5 linked regions of the Sus scrofa genome follow. The protein of the gene in region 3 interacts with the protein of the main gene of each other region in a pairwise test. Links are inferred from orthologs where the notes say so. Each region holds a gene or a part of one and is shown on either strand. Other genes may lie near its edges.

Region 1 (3,515 bases), on a different chromosome or scaffold from region 3:
ATTTTGTGCCAAGTGATTTATAATCACTATTGCATTTGATCACTACAAGCACCCTATAATGTACTAACGTCATTATACTCATTTAAGGATGTGAAAAATTAGGCTCAAAATAATCCTAAAGACTTTTGGTCAGAAATACATATCTGTCACCAGAGATGTTAAAATGCTAATAAACCTTGAGATGTTAAAAGTGCTACTAAACCAATTTTTAAAAAAATGAATGACCGTGATCTGAATTTAAAATGCCTTTTTTTTTCTTTTCTTAGAAAGCAGTAATAGCACAATTTTTACCTCAATACAGGGAAAAGAAATTCAACACACAGATTCTGCAGATGAGCTCAACATCTAACACTGATATGTGAGCATTAAGTACATCATAGATAGTGCCACCCACATAAGAAAATTTAAGAAGTCCTACACAGAGACCAAGTTCTTAATCAGAATAAATGCTTTTACTCAGAGGAACCGTTCAGGCGACAAAAACCTATTCACAAATTAAAATCGATCACAAAAAGAGAAAACATGCTTACCGTTCCCGCTGTATCCAGGATTTCGAGCATACACTGTTGGCAGTCTACTTCAACTTGCTGTTGGGGTAGGGTGCGGGGGTGGAGGGGGATGAAAAAGTAACATCAAAATGTCAGTCTGTTTTCCTCCCACTTCTTTGCTCAAAGTACCTATTAACAACTACAAAGCCTTTCTCTAGCAGTTTCCTGTATCGGTGGAGATCTAACTTGGTGCTACAATAAAGAACAGGAGGTCTCAAACACATTCTATTAATACTACAAAGCCAGGACTGCTGATGCTGAGTTTAGGCATTTTCTGACCACTATGAACACTGAGTACTGATTTGTGTTGTTATTAAAAGGCAACGGTCATACCCTGTAATTTAAGAAAAACTATAACCAACAGGTATAATTCTAACAGGGGAAAAATGGATAAAGTATGTATATTTATATTCTCTTCAAAACAAAGCACACAAGTACTAAATAGTTCAAAATATAGCCAAGACTGGGAGGGTAAAGAAAACTTTGCCAACTTACCACATTCAAGCTGTTAGAGTTTTACTAAACAATGCCCCAAATTTAACACACAGGAGCATTAATTTAAGAGTTAAAAGGGAACACAGAATAACACTGAACTCCTACAGCTCTCAAGACTTCTACGTCTTTGGAAAAACTGTGTGCATAAGGCAAACTTTTAGATACTGGGTTCTACTTTCCCAGTGTTGCACAGAAGAGAAGGTTGGCCTAAAGCAAGTATCAACTATTAACCGTGTGGACATTTTTTAATAAAGAAGGGATTTAGAAAAGTGTAAAATCTTTGACATTCAAGGTACAGATCTTTGTTTGCAGTTAATGCTTTAACCAGCAACTGATTTGGGGGAAATTTCAGTAATGCAACACTGTCTTCTAAAAATAGACATACTGACCTAAGGACTATTTTAAACTCTGCTTCTGTGTCACATCAGGGATTGATGAGGAGCACGATGGGTAGAGTCCCAAACTCCACTGTTCCATTGTTTACGGGACTAAAGTGATAATAATCTGCCCTCTCTGTGAATGCGTATGTTCAACGAATAATGAATTCACTCTGTGGTTTCTCAATGTACCACCATTTGGTTTCCAATTTACAGATAATGAAACTGCTATTCCGGTAGGCTTGAAGAATTTAATTCAACAGAAATTATAGCACTATTTAAGGTAAATTTTAACATCCAACAAAGCAATTCTTTCTCATTTGTTGGAAGGGAGGTTTAATCTTTTTTTTTTTTTTTTTCTTTAATGTATCGTTGGCTACTAGGCTTTCTTACAACACTGTCTCCCTCCCTACCGCTGCCCCCACCATACTTGGGAAATAAAGACTTGAAAATTCTCCACAATTCCAGCTAGTTTTCTAATTAAATAGAACAGTATTTTTTTGTCAAGACCAACTACTTAAATTTCTTTTCCTTTTAAACAAACTTTACTTTTTAGAAAGCAGTTTTAGGTTCACAGCAAAACAGCAGAAAAAGTAGAGTTCCCACATACCATTTTCCTGTTCCCCGCTAGCCTCCCCCACCATCGGCATCCTGCACCAAAGTGGTACATTTGTGAAAATCAGTGAACCTGCATTTGCACCATTATCATGCAAAGTCCATAGTCTGCAGTTTTACTCTTGATGTTGTACATGCTACAGGTTAAGACAAATGTATGAGGCCATGTATCTACACTAAATTATTACACAGACTCCAACTGTCTAATTTTTTATAGTCTAAAGGTGAAATATCTTTAAAGTTATTATATAATTAAACAAAAATAACTTTCAGTCACTGGATAACCTCAAGTATAAAGTGATCTTAATTTTAGTTCACACAAAGAGTCATCAAAAATATACCTACTATTTATATGCAATTTTTCTATATTAAAAAAAAAGGCCACCAAGAAAATGGGTATATTAAAGGACTGATTACATTAATCAGCGAGAGAATGTGGAGCTCTCTTTAGCTAAGCAATATTCTACGAAAAATACCACGTCTTGGTGAAACTTTTAAAAACAGATACAGAACATTGGGTCATTTCTCAGAACTATTTTTAAAAAAGCAATTCCAGGGATCAAGTTTTAAAGTCATAAGAAACTACTTGTAAGCATGAGCATACACGTTTCACATTTTACCTTTCTGTAGGAATCTTCTATCGTTGGGTCATATTTTTCCACAAAAATTCCCTGAACAAATTGAACGGTCTAAAAAAAAAAAAAGCAGACAAAAGTTAAGGACTTAAAAGAAAAATCAGCCCCTCTTAAATGTTACTTAACCTTGCAAAATCGCAACGATTAAATGAAATTATGTGAAAACTCTGGTAAAAATGCAAATTGTAAAGTATCATTATTTTTCAATATAAGGATACATTCATAATTAAGAGTATACTTAGGAAAGGAAGTGGTTGTGTTAAAAACTGTCAGCAATGCTGCTGCTGACATTACACTGTTAAAATAATTACTACATTAAGTTTCAAAGTACAATGAAGATACAAATAAGATACATATAAGGATATGGATTCTAATTTATTAAAATGTGAAAATTTATCAGTATTTAAAGTCTTATTACTCCTTTATGAATCTGTAGCAATTTTTATCTTATGCCCTCAAAGGAGAGACTGTAAATTTTAAACAGTCTTCAAACAGCCTTTCTAATTGTGGGGGAAAATCAAGTTTTTCTGATTTGCCAGCTGAAATTCAAAAGTATCCCTTCCTGATTTCAAACCCTTGTTCTTTTCATTGGAAGACACTATACACCCATCTTTTTCAGATCATCTACTTTTATCTCTTAAATTTCTATAAGACTAGATATTTTGTCATTCCGTAAATGAAAAGAAGGACAGAAGGTAGTTGCGAGATATTTCCTGAACAGCTGGCACATCACTGCCTAAAAGCAAGGGTAAAAATGTGGCCTGAGGTCATCCACACTACAATTAGCCAGAGGAATATAAATGCACTATTTTAGCTTGAGCTAAATAGATTAACCTGAAGATAGC
Region 2 (4,085 bases), on a different chromosome or scaffold from region 3:
AATCCAACTAGGAACCATGAGGTTGCAGGTTTGGTCCCTGGCCTTGCTCAGTGGGTTAGGGATCTGGCGTTGCCCTGAGCTGTGCTGTAGGTTGCAGACGCGGCTCAGATCTGGCATTGCTGTGGCTCTGGTGTGGGCCAGCGGCTACAGCTCTGATTAGACCGCTAGCCTGGGACCCTCCGTATGTCGCAGGAGTGGACCTAGGAAAGGCAAAAAGACAAAAAAAAAAGAAAAAAGTTTTTCTAAGGAAAGAGAAATTACCGAAATATGTAACATATTCAATTAACCTAAATTGTGAAACACCTAGAAAGCACTTACATACAGAAAACTTAGGATAATTATAATTCATTTTTAATTATTCCTTTAACTTAGTTTTCAATTACTAGCATTTTTTTTTTCTTCTTAGGGCCATACCTTATAACAAGGCAGTTAAACTATGAACTAAGCAAAAGTCTTTAATGACCCTCTCACTCCCTACTTTTCCCTGCACTTTGCTCTCTCTGAATCTTTTTGCCCTTCAAAACTTAGTTTCATAAAAAAGCTAATACCTTTTATAAAGGGTAGTTCTAATTTTAGCCTTTTCTCTAATAATGGTAAATTCTCTTAAGTTACTGCCTTTTTTAGAACAAGGCATTTTGGGAACAGAAAGTGCTTTCTGTTGCCCAGTAAATACATCATAAACCTACCTGTGGGTAACCCTTTAAAGTGCCAGAGTCATGTATTTATGCTATTTAACTCAGATAAATAGCTGATTTAGGTACAGAGTACAAAGTTGTTTGGCCTCATAGGTTAGTTAACTCCGTTTGGCAGGGTAATTTGGAAAGAGTTGTCCTGGGTTAAGACACCGGTAGAAAAGATACTTGACAATTCAAGAGAAACCATTTCAAGAATGAAAAAGACTGTGCCCTAGCCTAGGAGCCTTCACCGGACCTCTGGGTGTGGAAACTGCTCCTTGCTACTTTTCCAGCTACTTTCCCCAGCACAAAGGAATAAGCGACCACCAACTGGTAGTGTTGGCGACTGGATTACAGTTTGCTTTAGATGCACCTTTTGAGTTTCGGAGGGTTTCTAAGCCCCTCGCAGCAACGTAACCCGCTAGGGTCTAGGAAGCCAAAGCAAGGCCGACGGGGCGGTGCGGAACAGAGAGAAACGCCGCTGAGAAAATGCCGCGAAGGGCGCCGCGCGCGTCCGGTTTGCGCTGCGGCGCCGCGGAAGACTCCGCCCCTCGGCTCCCCTCGCCCCGCCCTAGGCCCCGCCCCTTTCCGGGCCGCGCTCCCGCGCGCCCCGCCCGCGGACGGAAGCGAGAGCGAGGCTGAACGCCTGACGTCAAGGCGACACCGCCAAACCTCGCCCAGAGTCAGGCGTGTAAACCAGCCGGAGCGGCGGCGGCGGCAGCGGCAGCAGCAGGACCGCCGTGGCGCCGGGAGCAGCGACCCGGAGGGAACGCGAGGCGACGCTGGCTGCGGCGACCCGGTGACAGCGTGAGAGGTTAGCATAGTGCGTGCGTGGCTGCAGAGGGGAGCGGCAGCGCGAGGCGGGGGCCGGGCGCCGGCTAAGGGGAGCGGGTGGGGTGCGGCGCGGGCCGGGCGGGGCGCGCGCGGCGGTCAGGGGGCCCGGGCGGCGGCGGCGATGGCAGCCTCGGCGCGCGGCAGGTGGTGCGAGGGCCCGGCGCCGTGCGGGTGAGGGCGCTGCCTCCCAGGCCGGTGGGGACCAGCCGCCGCGGCCGCCGCGGGGAATCAGCGCGCTTTGCGGAAGGGGTCAAATGTCTGAAATATGGCGGAGGAAGTGAGAGCCCGAGGACCCCCCCACCCGCCTGCTCCCTCCTGCCCGCAGCCGCCGCAGCCTCTCCCACTGCCCGCCGTTCCGTACAGCTCCCCGGAAGACTCGTCCCCCCGCCCCTGGCCCCCTCGCTCGCCGTCTCCGTTCCTTCCCGGGTGTGAGTGCAAGTTAGAACGGAAACCAGAAAGTTGTCCTTTGCGAAGACCCAGCTTCCCCTAGTCCCGAGCAGGGGTGAGGAGCGTTCTGGGGAAACCACTCTCCGACGCCCTGCGGGCTTGAGCTTGACAGGGGAAAAGTTTGCCTGAAACGGGGTTGGCTTGCTCCATTTGTTGCGGGAAGTGGCAGGAGGAAGGCAGCGGAGGGAGCCCCACCTAGTCTGGCAGCAGCCACCGCGTAGAGAAAAACTGTTAAAGGGGCCTTTCCCTTCGTCAGCAAGAGGAAATCTCTTTCTCTTACAGAGGGAGAGAAAATCCAGGAAGTTTGTCCTCTTTTTCGCCATCTCGATGTGTCTAATTCTAAAACTGTCAGCGCCATGAATCTTTTAAAACTATTCCCAGAGAATCGGGCCATCTGAATTTTTCTTCCGAAAAAAACCGATGGCTTTTAGAGAAAAGATCATCCTTGGTGAATTTAAGCAGACGATTCGTTTCCCCTTTGCCTGTTCCCCCACCCCCTTTTATTAGTTTAGAACATTTTTGTTCTGCAGTTCTATGTTACTGTAAGGGGAAATCTCGTTTTTAATGGGGTAGAAGTTGACACTAAATGGAGATTGTGATTTTAATATTTTTCAATTGATTCAGCCTGATTAGATTTTTGTTTTGCTAGTAGCATAACATCTAATACAGAACAAGTGCTCATAACTTAAAGTTCCCAACTTGTAACTTCATTTTTAACCCTCTTTTTTTGCAATTATAGTGCTGCTTGTACTTGACAAACCTTATCTTAGCAAGAAGTAACATAAAAAAGGGAGATGTTCATTTAACTTCAAGCTCCTTTGGCTTCTAAAAGCTGATCCTTGAATAGTATTTGAGTCATAATGGAGTCATGGGACTTTGTAAGTTAAGGCCGGAAAAGACTATTTAGATCATCCAGTCCCACCCTCTCATTTTACAGTGGAGGAAACTGAGGCCTAGAAAAGATAAGGTAACTAGTCAGTGGTCTTGCTGACTTTTAGGACTGTAGTCTGTCCATTATAGAGAATTTGGAGGGAAAAAAATGACATTTTTTATATGAATTACCTTTTCCAGAGGATAGTAGTCCCATCATACTCCAAAAAGAGGGGCACCTTACTTAGTCAAACAGTGTGGAAGGACCATTTGGTTGTTTCATTACCAGGTTTTAAGAGAGGAAATTGATACCCAGAATGATTAAATAATTTTGAGAACACAGAGCCCTGAATGATAGCTGGTCTTATTTGAGCCCATCCAAGCTTTTGATCTCAGCACTACGAAAAAAAGTGTTTTCACTTGCATTTTCTTTTTGTCATTCATAATAAATTGTGAGGCTGCCTTATCTGAAGAAGGCTAAAAGTAAATCTTTGAAACACATGTATCCAGTTTGGTTTTAATGTGCCAGGTATGAGAATACAACTGAAGAACCCAGTAATAAGCTGAATTAACTTTTAAATATGGTATGGATTCATGAAAATGATTGCTCATCTTTCTGCCCCCTACCACCCTCTCTTTCTACAAGTATCACTTCCTACCTTCTGTTATTATTATGTGTTTTTGTTATCCCTCTAAATTGTAAATTCCGTGGACAGGATATGTTCTTTGTATGCTCCAAAACACTGACGTGGTACCTTGCACTAAGACAGTACCAGTTTGTTAAATGTAAGTGCCATGAGGGTAGGGTCTTGATCCATTTCATTCCCTACTGTATCTTAGTTCCTAGAACCTTGCCTGTACACCTGGTATTTAGCATTTAGATTTAGGGATTACCTGTAACAAACATTTAAAGAGATGATGTTTGAAGAGAACTTTGTATTCATGATTGGTAGAAGCCTGTATAGAAACTGATAACATGGTAACTAATTTTACATGTTGTCACAAATACATAGTCTTAAGTTTTGGATGAGACGCTGTCTGTATTCAGTTTTCTCTGACTTTGGTTGTAGATATTTGATCAACATTTGTTAAGTGAAATTAAGTAGGTAAACTGGATCTGATACAAAAAGAACTTGGCTGATTTTGCAAAGGTGTCATTTTATTTTCATCAGTGTAAATAGGCAGTTTTATTATTGAATATCAGGATCTTACTGGTATGCATGTATCATTTTCCCAAAGACTTAATATGTTTCTGTGTTA
Region 3 (3,515 bases):
TCATACAGGTTCAGGGCCGACTCATTTTCACACTGGGGTGGGACAAAGCAGGACGGATGGTCAGGTCAGCGGCAGCACCTGGGCCACTGGGAGGGCGGGGGGCTGGAGCTCAGAGGATCTCCTGGGCTCGGTGACTTTGGGCTGGAGATGAGACACGAGGGGTCCCCTGAGCAGAAAAAGGTGCTCAGTATGAAAGCCAGGATTGCAGGAGGGGTGCAGACAAATCCTCCTTAGGTCATCTGATGAGCTGAGTAATGACAGCACCTGGTCACACCAAGAGTGTCACCCCCGCGAGCCCTGCCTGGCCGAACCTGCCCATTCTAGAGCTGAGACAACAGAGGCTCGCGCTGGGGTGGGAGGGAGCAGGATCCCAGGACGTGCAGGCTGTTCGGAGCAGCACTTTGGAAACGGCCACAGAAAGGAGCCAGGCCAAGGTCCCCAGCAGCAAAAGCTGACTCAGGGTGCTAACTGGCCTGCCTTCCGAAAAAACGTCGTGCACCTGCCAGGCCCTCTGCGCTGACCTGGAGGGAGGGGTCGGGCTGTGCTCCTTGAGAGCAAGTTGCCGAAGTCTGTGCAGAGCAGCCTGAGCTCTTTAAGGGTAACAAAAAGTCCTACTAAGTGTGGTGCTATAAGGCGTGGCAGAGGTGCAGGACAGACTGACGGCTACTCAGGACAGCAGAAGGCAGCCGTGTTAGACATACTGCAGCGGAGTTCCCGCTGTGGCACAATGGGTTAAGAATCTGCAGCAACTCGGGTCACTGCCGAGGCGCAGGTTCGATCTTGGGCCCAGGAGCTTCCATATGCTGTGTGCGGCTACAAGACTAAAAAAAAAAAAACCCCACGTATTCAGGCAAAACACATACGTAATCCTGGCCTAACATGAAATGAAAATAGTACGAAGGTGTCGTTATTTTTCTTTTGAGAGCAAACTCACTGCACAGAGGTCAGTGACCTGAGCCACTACGGTGACAACCCCCAGATCCTTTTACCACTAGGCCACCCGGGAACCCTGAAAGTGTCTGTTCTGATGTTCATGCAAATGTGTGGACGGCGCGCGTGCACTTGGCCCGGCCCAGGGCTGGGCAGTGGGAGCAGGGCTGGGGGCTCTCAGGCAGGAAAGCCTGGGAGGGAGTCGCCAGGGGTTCTGGGCACGGCGCTTTCCCGCCCCGCGTCCGCACTCACCCCGAGCCAGCGCTGGCCCTTGGTGGCTCCGTGGTGCACCTGGACCTTCCGCAGGGAGATGGAGTACACGACCCCGTTGACCAGCTCCTCGCCAATCTCCTGTGTGGAGCTCTGCAAGGACAGCGTCCAGCCGTTGGTAGGGGTGGCACGGCCTGGCCAACCGCGCTGCCGGCGGATGCCCCCGTGCCACCTTCTGTTCGCCAGATGAGGCGAAGATCAGTGGCCACAGAGCCCTCTGGTCCGGGACGAAATGGGGCGACAGCTAGGGGGCTGGGGCTTACTGTTGGGGCAGGCAGGCGCCGAGCCCCCACCCCCGCCCGCTGGGGCTGCGAGCGAGCAAGATGCACTCACGGGGGGTCCAACCCCACCACAGCCTGTTCCTGCCACCCCCCCAAGACAAGTCCTGCCATGTGGCCATTTCTCAGACAAACACACAGAGGCCGAGTGAAGAGCCCCCGCGCCAAAGCCCCAGCAGACCCGGGAGCCCAGGGCCTGACTCAGCCAACGGCACCTAGGCAGCTCCAGCCCCCCAAGGAGGGAGCCTGCCCACCCTCATTTGCCAGGCTATGCACCACAGCCGCCCTGGCCCTGGTGTCAGCCCCTTGGGTCTGGGGCAGGTGTGGGCATCCTCGACGGCCAAACCAAGGCTACTTCCTTCCCTTTCTGCTCATTCACGTGCGTGTGCTCTCTTGAGCAACAGAGGAATTCCCAGTTCCCTCTGTCATCACGTGCACGGGGACAGCACAAGGACAGCGGTGCTGCCATCTGGGCTAATGGCTGGGGTTCCACACGACCCCGAATCACGGGGGTCATCTGGCTGCTCCCTGGGCCCTGGGCAGAAAGGGGTCCCTAGGAGTAAAGATACAGACATTGAAAGTTTAGGGAGGAGGTGGGAACACCAGATGGCAGAGGGCCATCGGTCACATGGCCAGGGCCACTAGCTGGGACCACAGGTCACTGCCCAACTCAGGGTGGGCACAGAGCTCAGAGAAGCCCCAGCGAAAGAGCTGACTCATCCTGGGTCCCGCTGACAGCCCCTCCCTAAAGCCTTGGCCCAAGGTGGGCCCCTGAGTAGAACCAGGTGCCCAGGGTCTTGTGGGCTGTCCCCCCTGGGCCATCAGCACCCCTGGGGTCAGGGGCCGGGGGGCCTGGGCCTCTTACCTCCTGCCTCAAGGGTGCTGGGAGGGCTCTGGGAGGCCCGGGCCATCCTCCGGAAAGCCACTTCCTCTGACCTGAGGCCTCCCTCCCACCCTGGGCATCGTACCAACGGGAAAGCCGGTGCAATCACGCCAGGCTCCTGACCCTTCACCTCCTCCGCAGAGAAAGCCGGGCATTTCTGGGAAGCTAGCACGGAACCCGTGGGCAGAGCACCCCCGCAATGGGCCCCCCCCCCCCAGCGCACAACAGCCCACGCTGGGGGAGGTCCAACCCTCCCTTCGAGGAGGGGAAATTCCTCCTCCTGATGCAGGAAAACTCTAACAGATGCTCACTTTCTTCCCCGGCCTCACTCATCCCTCCCCTGCCTGGGAGAGGCGGCGGGGATGTCGGGAGCCTGCCGTCCACCTGCCAGACCAGGGCCCTGTCCCCCCACCCCCTGCATCTTCTCAGGGGTCCAGACCGCCTCCTGTGAAGGCTGCGGGCCCTCCTGGAAGGCCTGTCCTCTCCCGGGGATGCCGGGTACATCTGTCCAGCTGGAAGCCAGTGTCCTAAGCACCCAAGTCGCTGGCAGCGGTTTGGAGCGTTTGGCAGCAGGGGGCACTGGACATGAACCCCGTGGGAGCCCGCCCAGCACCTGGCTCCCAGCGGGGCTCCATCAAAGCCTGCTGGACAGAAGTGCCCCCCCGGCCCCCGGCCAGGCCAATGCACGGGGGCCTCGCCATCCCTAAGCGGGTTGAAATAGCGGCTCTGCAGTGAGCCATGGGCCTCGCTGGCAGCCAAGCAGCTGGCTGGCCCTGCCTGGGTGTCATGTGATCCCCGAGCCCTTCCCCCACCCCAAGGGGCCCCTTCTGCCAGCCGGGTGGGGGGCAGGGCAGGACGCTGAGAGCCACACATGCTGGGCCAGGGGAGTCAACGCCCTGTCACACAGATGGGGGCTCCTCCAGCCCCAAGGAGCTAACCCCGTCCTCCCCGGTCCCGTCACGGTCCCTTCACGGCGGCGGCAGCAGGAGGAACAAAACCAGACCGTCAGAGCAGCGCTGAGAGCAGGCGCCATTTAAACCAACTACAAGAGCCAAGAGCGGAGCGGGCTCCGAGAGAGCTGCCAGGTCCTGGGCACCAAGTGGCAGCGTGGGGCACTGCTCCCTGCTCCCACCGCTCTTCCAGGGACGGAGAAA
Region 4 (3,474 bases), on a different chromosome or scaffold from region 3:
GTCTTACACTTTTCCTCTCTCATTTGGGTGAAACAGAAGCATATGTTATACCAGTAATATCACAAAGTGGGAACATCAGTGAGTGCAGTTTGGGGGCTTTACTGGGGACTTTTAGCCACTAGCATTTAGACCAGTAATGCTAGTTTTTATCCTACTACTGCTGTTGTTTAAATGTTAGCAAGCTTCTCATTCCCACTGTTTAACTCTTTTAAAATATTGGCAATACTTTTCTAAATTTTAGATCTGTTGTGAAAATAACTTAAATTGCTTGAATGAAAATGGCCTGAATTAATTTTGCTACTATTGTGAAATATTAATTATAGAAGATCTTAGCAGTACAGTGAAGGAGAAATCATATTGCTGTTGAATTTTCAAATTTTAAACTACCCTCAAGATAATAACAAGTGTGGTTATATTAATATTTAACAGAGGTTAAAAAATGGATAAAAACCCAGTTTTCATTGTTCTTAAAGTGGCTTGATTTATACAACTTTGTTGTGTATTTATTTCTAAGACTCCCTCTAGTGTCTAGGTTTGAAAACATTAGGTTAACAGGCTTCTTTTGATAGTACCACTCAGTTGAACGGATTTTAAAATACACAGATGATCGTATTTTTTCTTTAATTTTTTACTTTTATATTTAATTTGCTTTTTAATAGAGATATGACAAGAATTGACTTCTGTATAGATCTTGTGTAATTCAGTATTTCAGGGTTAAAATCTTATGTCCTGCTGCCATTTTCAGAGTGCCAATTTTCATGTTCTGTTTGAATGATTAGGTTGAAAATTATTCTGACTTGAAATCACTTTCAGCTTTTATTGACTTGGTTACTTTGCTTTGATCACAAATAGATATAGGCTAAAATGACCAAGTAGAAATTTCTCTGAAGAGACAGTGTTTTGACTTAAATGGCAAACTTTAAACAGAAACTAAAAACCAGTATATTTAAAATATCTTCTCCAAATCAGCAGACTACAGCACCATTTAAATGATTTAGCTTATTTATGCACAAATCGAGGTATTACATTCTTCAAAGTAGTGTGCCTTGTGTTGTGGTCACTTTCAGTTTCCTTCTCATAAGTATATGAATTGAAACTAATGCCTTAATATTATTTGAAAACTGAAAGTATATTCTGCTACTGTTTACTTCTTGGTAGTTATTTAAATCTAATGGATTTAAGTGTTAAGCCAAGAGCTCAAATATCACAGTGAAAACAGTATATACTGCATGGCTTCTATCAGATGTCTAAACACTCAGGGATGATTAAGTATAAATACATATTCACGCATATACACAATTACATTTGAATTTTGGTGATGAGGTGTGCCAGTATGGAAAGATCGGTACAAATTAAATTCTGGGAAAAGGTCATGTGTTAAGCATATGTAAGATTCTGTGCTATTAATTTTCAGTGCCTTTTGTGAAAATCAGTGTTCCCATTTATGTTAACAAAATACCCACGAAGACATTTAAGAATCCTATAAGTCTGATATATATTTAGTTGCCTGAAGAGATATATTAAGTATCCTTATTCTTTTCAAGTATTAATGTTTCTATTAGTAATATATCCTTTCTGTTATCTGTATACCTCAAACTATCACATACATGCACATTTTAATACTTGTTTTGTGTTTCAGGGTGTTGACGATGCCTTCTATACATTAGTTCGAGAAATTCGAAAACATAAAGAAAAGATGAGCAAAGATGGTAAAAAGAAGAAAAAGAAGTCAAAGACAAAGTGTATAATTATGTAAATACAATTTGTACTTTTTTCTTAAGGCATACTTAAGTAAAAGTGGTAATTTTTGTACATTACACTAAATTATTAGCATTTGTTTTAGCATTACCTAATTTTCTTTCTGCTCCATCCATACTGTTAGCTTTTATCTTGAATGCTTATTTTAAAATGACAGTGGAAACTTTTTTTCCTCTAAGTGCCAGTATTCCCTGAGTTTTGGTTTTTGAACTAGCAATGCCTGTGAAAAAGAAACTGAACACCTGAGATTTCTGTCTTGGGGTTTTTGGTGCATGCAGTCAATTACTTCCTATTTTTCTTACCAATTGTGGACTTTAGTGTGAAACAAATTAATGAACCTTTCAAATCATCCCTAGTCTATGTTTTATCTGGTCACATACATGGATCAATTACTAATTATAACTTCACTTGGAATTTCAAGATTGGTTTTATTGAAACATTGAGGGAACACGAATTTATGGACTTCCTATAGATTCATCTCGTATGCATCATGTCCTGTAGTTTCAGTTACCCTTGTATGAATGTAAGGTTACACTGTTCACAAAGGTTTTCTTCTTTCCACTGCTATTTGTCATGGTCATGTTTCCAAAAATATTATATTTTTTCTATAAAAAGGGAAAAAATGGAAAAAAATACAAGGCAATGGAAAATACTAAAAGGCCATTTACTTTCTGCATTAGATAAATTCCTATAATACTCTGAATAGCTTCTCCTGTTAAGGAAGACCCAGTATGTAATGAGGATTATAATAACCATTTTGGGGCTATATTTACATGCTACTAAATTTTTGTAATGATTGAAAAAAATTTAACATGTATAAAAAATTTTCATAGGAATTAAATATAGTCTCCCTGTGTCAGATTGCTCTTTCTTAGCATAACTTTAAATCTTTTCTTGAACTTCAGTCTTTGAAAGTAGTTTTAATTCTACTGATAGTGATGTTAAAGATTATTTGGGCCAGTTAGCTTAGTAGGTTACAAAGGCCAGGCTTTGTGTGAACCTTTGAGCGCCACTGAGAGCTTCACAGGTGGACTGCATTCCTGTGATCCTCCAGTGTTGTTATGCCTGGGCTGGTCAGGAATGGCGACTAGGAGAGAGTTTGGTTAGCTCAGCAAGGTACATTGTCACCATGTGGTAGTCCTACTCAGGAACATCACTTTTGTTGAAATTAAAAAAAAAAAAAAAAAAAGAACTTTAAAAAAAAACATTATTTTTAATGAGATTTTAGGGTGGGGTAGCAAGATTTTAATTTTTTTTAAATGAAATGAAAAAGTTTCAAAATCTTGAGTATTGGCTAGTTCTCTTAACACTGGCTAAAGTAACATTTCATAAACACTTTACAAGTCTGGTCCATATTTAAGAATACCTGATGCTTATAAAATAGATAATAATTAATGGTAACAAAATGATTCTTTCAGTGCATTTAACATGTTAACTTATTTTAAAATATTTGAAGTGAGATGGTTGTGTTGAGGTGAAAATATCACTGGACAAGGAGGAAGGTGACTTAGATTCTAGTTTTGTGTCTTTTACAATTTGGGGCAAATCACTTACTCTCCATTTTTTCATGCTTAAAAGGCATCTCAAAGGCTGTATCTAGCATTACAACTATGTGATTTACATTTACTTTACATAAGGCTATACCTATTTGTCAGTCTCAGCACAATCTGTAACTTTTCACCTGTGTCATCACCTTCAGTGCCAGCCTTAGGCAAA
Region 5 (4,120 bases), on a different chromosome or scaffold from region 3:
GTCATAAGCTAAGATTAATATAGTAACAACAATTAATAATGTTTGTAGCCTTACTATGCACTAGACATTGTTCTGGGCTCTGAACCTATGTTAACTCATTTAAATTTTCACAACTGTATGTGGTACTTTGTATTTTCCCAGTTCACAGATGGGCAAAACTAAGGTAGGGAGAGATTAATTTGGGTAAGATGACACATGCAGCACGTGGTAGAGCTGAGAGTTGATCCAGGTCTAGCTCCTACCTCTCCAGAGAGCCTCCTCAAAGTCAGGGTCTCAGTTCCACCTTTTCACTGGCCTATCCCACACCCCTCCTTTCCTGCCTCCTCTCTCCAAGCTGCCATACTACTCCCCCACTACTCCCACTCATATAAGACATGCCCCCTCTTTCCACCATCTCGTCTTCACAAAACTTTTCTCAATCCTTCCCAAACTGACTTTTCCCAATCCTGAAGATCCTTTGCATTTATGTTACAGAAGTGTACATACAGCCACCGCTAATGGAGCACATACTACATACTAGATACAAGACTAAAGAAGTTCCCGCAATTTAAAGGATTATGAAGAATGTGTGATCAGACCCATTTCACTGAAAAGAAAATTAAGGTTCAATGTTCTCTAGCTGTAAGTACATGACTCATGCATACATGCCTCCTTTACTTCTTTTAGATCATCTAAGTACATGTCTAGTCATAAAAGAGGTGTTTCTTAAAACAAATGAATTCTAGAAAATCATTAGCAATGAAGTTATTTTCATGGTTTCTAATAATATTTCCAAAAACAAAAGGCTTCAATACCTTAATAATTAACTTGCAGGTTCAAATGCATTCAGATGGCCCCTCCCCCCAAAAAACTCAAGAAATATTTGTGGTTGAAGTCTTTTAGCTAACACTCTTTATTAATACTGGAACCCAGGATTATTCTCTCACTCCTCACCAACATCCCACACGTCCCCAAAGAAAGAGTTAGCTATAAATTGTTTTTGCTTTGCTATCAGCTATAAATTGTTTTGCTTTGCTATCAGTTAAAGTCTCTCTTGGCCCTAGGGGAAATAGCAACATGACGGCATCCCTGATTCTGTCAGCCTGCTAAACTAAAACCAATCTCACCTCTTAGTGTGATTTTCTTAACCCACTAATGAGCATACTGTAAATGTTCATTATACATAAACATCTCCTCTTCCGGGATACAAAGGTTTTAGCAGCAGTTTTTAATACCCTGAAATAGTATAGCAGCAATTATTGTTCATTTAGTCAATGTGAAAGGTTTTATGCTACATTTATGCTACAGTACTTTGTATTTTAATGTCAATATAAGCGAAACGAAATAAGCTATTCAGGTACCCCAACTGAAAACAATGGGTAAAACAAATATTTCATCAAACCATCTTAACAATACTCTTCATATATATTGAGAGTATCTTTGTTACCTGTTATAACGCAGTACTTTCATTCTCTCCCAGCACATGCCACACCTTTCAGGTTGACAAAAGCAGAAAGACATGTAGGTTTCTCTTTTTACCAGTCTCAAAAAGAGATCACGCAAACCTCCTACCAAGAGCAAAGCCTAAGAATCAAGAATTCCATCTCCCCTTCCTTTACAACCCTGGCTTTCCGCCTCCAACTACCAGAGAGGGTTGGGAGTGGAGGAGAGAACGATAGGAACAGACACGGAACACGCGACTCGGTCGGTCGGTCATCTCCTAGCCTGGCCCACCCTAAACTTCACCTTGGCACAGCGAGAAGCAGGAAGGCACCAGGAATTCCTAGGAAATGGTCTCAGCCCTATCGGAGAACATTCTTAACTTCCTCGAGGCCACCATTTCCCTGGGGCATTATTACACACTCCCACCCAGACACATTACCTAAGAGACTACTTAAAAGAAATGCACAAACACACAAAGAGAAAACACTCGGCTAGAAGCGGGCAGCCCCCGCTCAGCGTGCGCGGAGAAGCCCAAACACCACGCGGAGCCGCAGCCAAGTTGCCTCCGCGATCGCACCCACCGTGCAGGAGGCGGCCGGGGCGGCTGGAAACCCAGAGCGCGGGGCTCCAGCCCCACGCCCTAAGCCCGGCGCCCCGACTTCGGGGCAGGAAACCCGGTGCTACGGCGCTACCTCTCCCGAAGGGCTCGGGCCACGCCGGAGCGATAAGGTGGATCTGCGCTACCCTCCCAGCTCCGCCCTCCCGGACACATTCCTGAGAAGCCCGACTCCCCCGACGCCAAGCAGGGCGCCCAGCAGGCAGGAGCCGGGCGCCCAGACCGCAGTGCAGAAAGGCAGAGCCGGCCCCGCGCCCCCCTGCCCGCCCGCCCCCAGCCCGCTCGGCGCCTCCGGGCGGGGTCCCCGCTGCCGCCCCGCCACAGGTAGAGCAAGCCCCCGCCCGCCGCCGCCCCGGCGCCCCCGGCAGGCCCGTTCCAGGTACCTGGATGAACTGGATGGTGAGCGCCGACTTGCCCACGCCGCCTCCACCGACCACCACGAGCCGGTACTTCTCTTGGCCAGAGCCGTCCCGCCAGCCGGCCGCGGCCATGGGGACGCCGCCGAACCCAGCCCAGCCACGCCGAGCCGCCGCCCGCCCTAGGCCCGGCTCCGGGGACGTGTGCGGCCGGCGGGCTGCGGGCGAGCGGCCGGGCGAGGGTCCCCGGCGCCGGGAGCTTCAGGAGGGCCGGTCCGGGCGGCAGCGCGGCGCCCAGGCTGGCCAGGTCCGGCAGGAGGCGCGGAGAAGCGGGGTGACCGCAGGGGCGAGGGTCGCAGCGTCCGGGGGGCGCGCTCCTCCACACGTCTCTGCAGCGCCTGCCGAACGCAGCCTCCAGCGCCGCTACAAATGGCCGTCTGGGGGCCGGGCCGCCAGGCTGAGGTGCTGCATATGCATGAGGGGGCGGAGCGAGGCAGGGCTGCGCTGGCCTAGGCTGATATTCAGGAGCTGACCGAGGGCTCGGTCCCTGAAGACTTGTGTTTCCATTCCCTTGACTGTGAGTGGACGTGTGCACGCGTGTGCGTGCGTGAGTGAATGGGTGTGTGAGAACGAGTGTAAAAGTGGGCGTCAAGCGGGAGTGGGAAGAAAACAGTAAGCAGTGCGTAACCATAATTGTGTTTGTCAGGGATTGTGTGGATGAAAAATACAGTATGCAAAGGCGTGTGTGAAAAATGAAGCTGTTGTCATCTTAACTCAGTTTGTAGGAGGGCAAATATCCTGTTTTGAGAGTGCAGATGGTGACCATGACTGTATGTAAAACAGTATATGACAGTGATTGAAGATTAGAGCTGTCACAATAATTGTGTGTGTGATAGGCTTGTGGTGGTTACCCTGTATGAGGAATGTCACAGAGACAGAACCAAGTGATTGAGGGCACGTGGACAAGAGTATATGTGGCACATTTTGTATCTGACGGGAGGGTGTCTTATTGGCTATGTCTATATGTGAGAAATATGCAGTAATTTTATTCAAGGGGATGAGTGTGGGAGATTAGTTTATACATATTTTCACACTACATTGCAGGCACTGTGCTTAGCGCTACAAATCCTTTCATAAACAAAATAATGTCCCTGCCCTCAGGGAACTAAGAGTCCAGTGGGGAAACAGCCAGGACAACAGGCATATTGTCAGGCATAATGATAAGTGCTGTAACTAAAGGCACCATGTGGCTTCTATGCTCTTCTGGAGGAGAAGCACTCACTCTGGAGTTGGGTGGTCAGCAAAGGCTTCCTAAAAGACCTGAAGAACAAATAATGTAGACAGATGAATCACTGGAAGAAATGTATTCCAGGGGAAGCAAACCACATATGCAAAAGTCAGAGCTGTTCCCTTGTGATACAGCAGGTTAAGGCATTGTCACTGCAGTGGCTTGGGTTGCTGCTGTGGCTGAGGCTCATTCTCGGTCCCAGGAACATGCCACAAGTGCAGCTAAAAAAAAAAAAGTCAAAGCTGAAATGGTTAGACTTGTGTCACATGATTTTGATTGTGCTGGGGGAGTGTGCTTGTAGATGAAAAGTGTTTGCAAATGAAAAGTGATTACCTATGTGTATGGCAGTTTAACCAAATGTAACAAGGATCCCAGCTGTATACAGAGACATTATAAGGTAATAGATGAGACCGTGAGCTCTGGGGACAGAATGTCTGG

The links.
Region 1: the proteins of RALGDS (region 3) and RAP1A interact in a two-hybrid assay, tested with the Homo sapiens proteins (3 studies listed by BioGRID and IntAct). The link is inferred for Sus scrofa from reciprocal best matches to the Homo sapiens genes RALGDS and RAP1A.
Region 2: the proteins of RALGDS (region 3) and RAP1B interact in binary tests that used the Homo sapiens proteins (3 or more experiments, as listed by UniProt). The link is inferred for Sus scrofa from reciprocal best matches to the Homo sapiens genes RALGDS and RAP1B.
Region 4: the proteins of RALGDS (region 3) and KRAS interact in a two-hybrid assay, tested with the Homo sapiens proteins (3 studies listed by BioGRID and IntAct). The link is inferred for Sus scrofa from reciprocal best matches to the Homo sapiens genes RALGDS and KRAS.
Region 5: the proteins of RALGDS (region 3) and RRAS2 interact in a two-hybrid assay, tested with the Homo sapiens proteins (2 studies listed by BioGRID and IntAct). The link is inferred for Sus scrofa from reciprocal best matches to the Homo sapiens genes RALGDS and RRAS2.

Annotation. Positions count from the first base shown.
Region 1 is NC_010446.5:108,688,441-108,691,955, forward strand, and holds part of RAP1A (ras-related protein Rap-1A), read right to left. Parts: intron 2,725-3,515; coding exon 2,656-2,724; intron 588-2,655; coding exon 531-587; intron 1-530. UniProt on the Homo sapiens protein: Counteracts the mitogenic function of Ras, at least partly because it can interact with Ras GAPs and RAF in a competitive manner. Together with ITGB1BP1, regulates KRIT1 localization to microtubules and membranes.
Region 2 is NC_010447.5:32,908,910-32,912,994, forward strand, and holds the start of RAP1B (ras-related protein Rap-1b), read left to right. Parts: upstream 1-1,271; 5' UTR 1,272-1,488; intron 1,489-4,085. UniProt on the Homo sapiens protein: GTP-binding protein that possesses intrinsic GTPase activity. Contributes to the polarizing activity of KRIT1 and CDH5 in the establishment and maintenance of correct endothelial cell polarity and vascular lumen.
Region 3 is NC_010443.5:272,789,982-272,793,496, forward strand, and holds part of RALGDS (ral guanine nucleotide dissociation stimulator), read right to left. Parts: intron 1,294-3,515; coding exon 1,183-1,293; intron 33-1,182; coding exon 1-32. UniProt on the Homo sapiens protein: Functions as a guanine nucleotide exchange factor (GEF) activating either RalA or RalB GTPases and plays an important role in intracellular transport. Interacts and acts as an effector molecule for R-Ras, H-Ras, K-Ras, and Rap.
Region 4 is NC_010447.5:48,543,269-48,546,742, forward strand, and holds the end of KRAS (GTPase KRas), read left to right. Parts: intron 1-1,639; coding exon 1,640-1,756; 3' UTR 1,757-2,972; downstream 2,973-3,474. UniProt on the Homo sapiens protein: Ras proteins bind GDP/GTP and possess intrinsic GTPase activity. Plays an important role in the regulation of cell proliferation.
Region 5 is NC_010444.4:44,888,828-44,892,947, reverse strand, and holds the start of RRAS2 (ras-related protein R-Ras2), read right to left. Parts: upstream 2,813-4,120; 5' UTR 2,530-2,812; coding exon 2,422-2,529; intron 2,284-2,421; exon of another isoform or gene 2,004-2,283; intron 1-2,003. UniProt on the Homo sapiens protein: GTP-binding protein with GTPase activity, involved in the regulation of MAPK signaling pathway and thereby controlling multiple cellular processes. Regulates craniofacial development.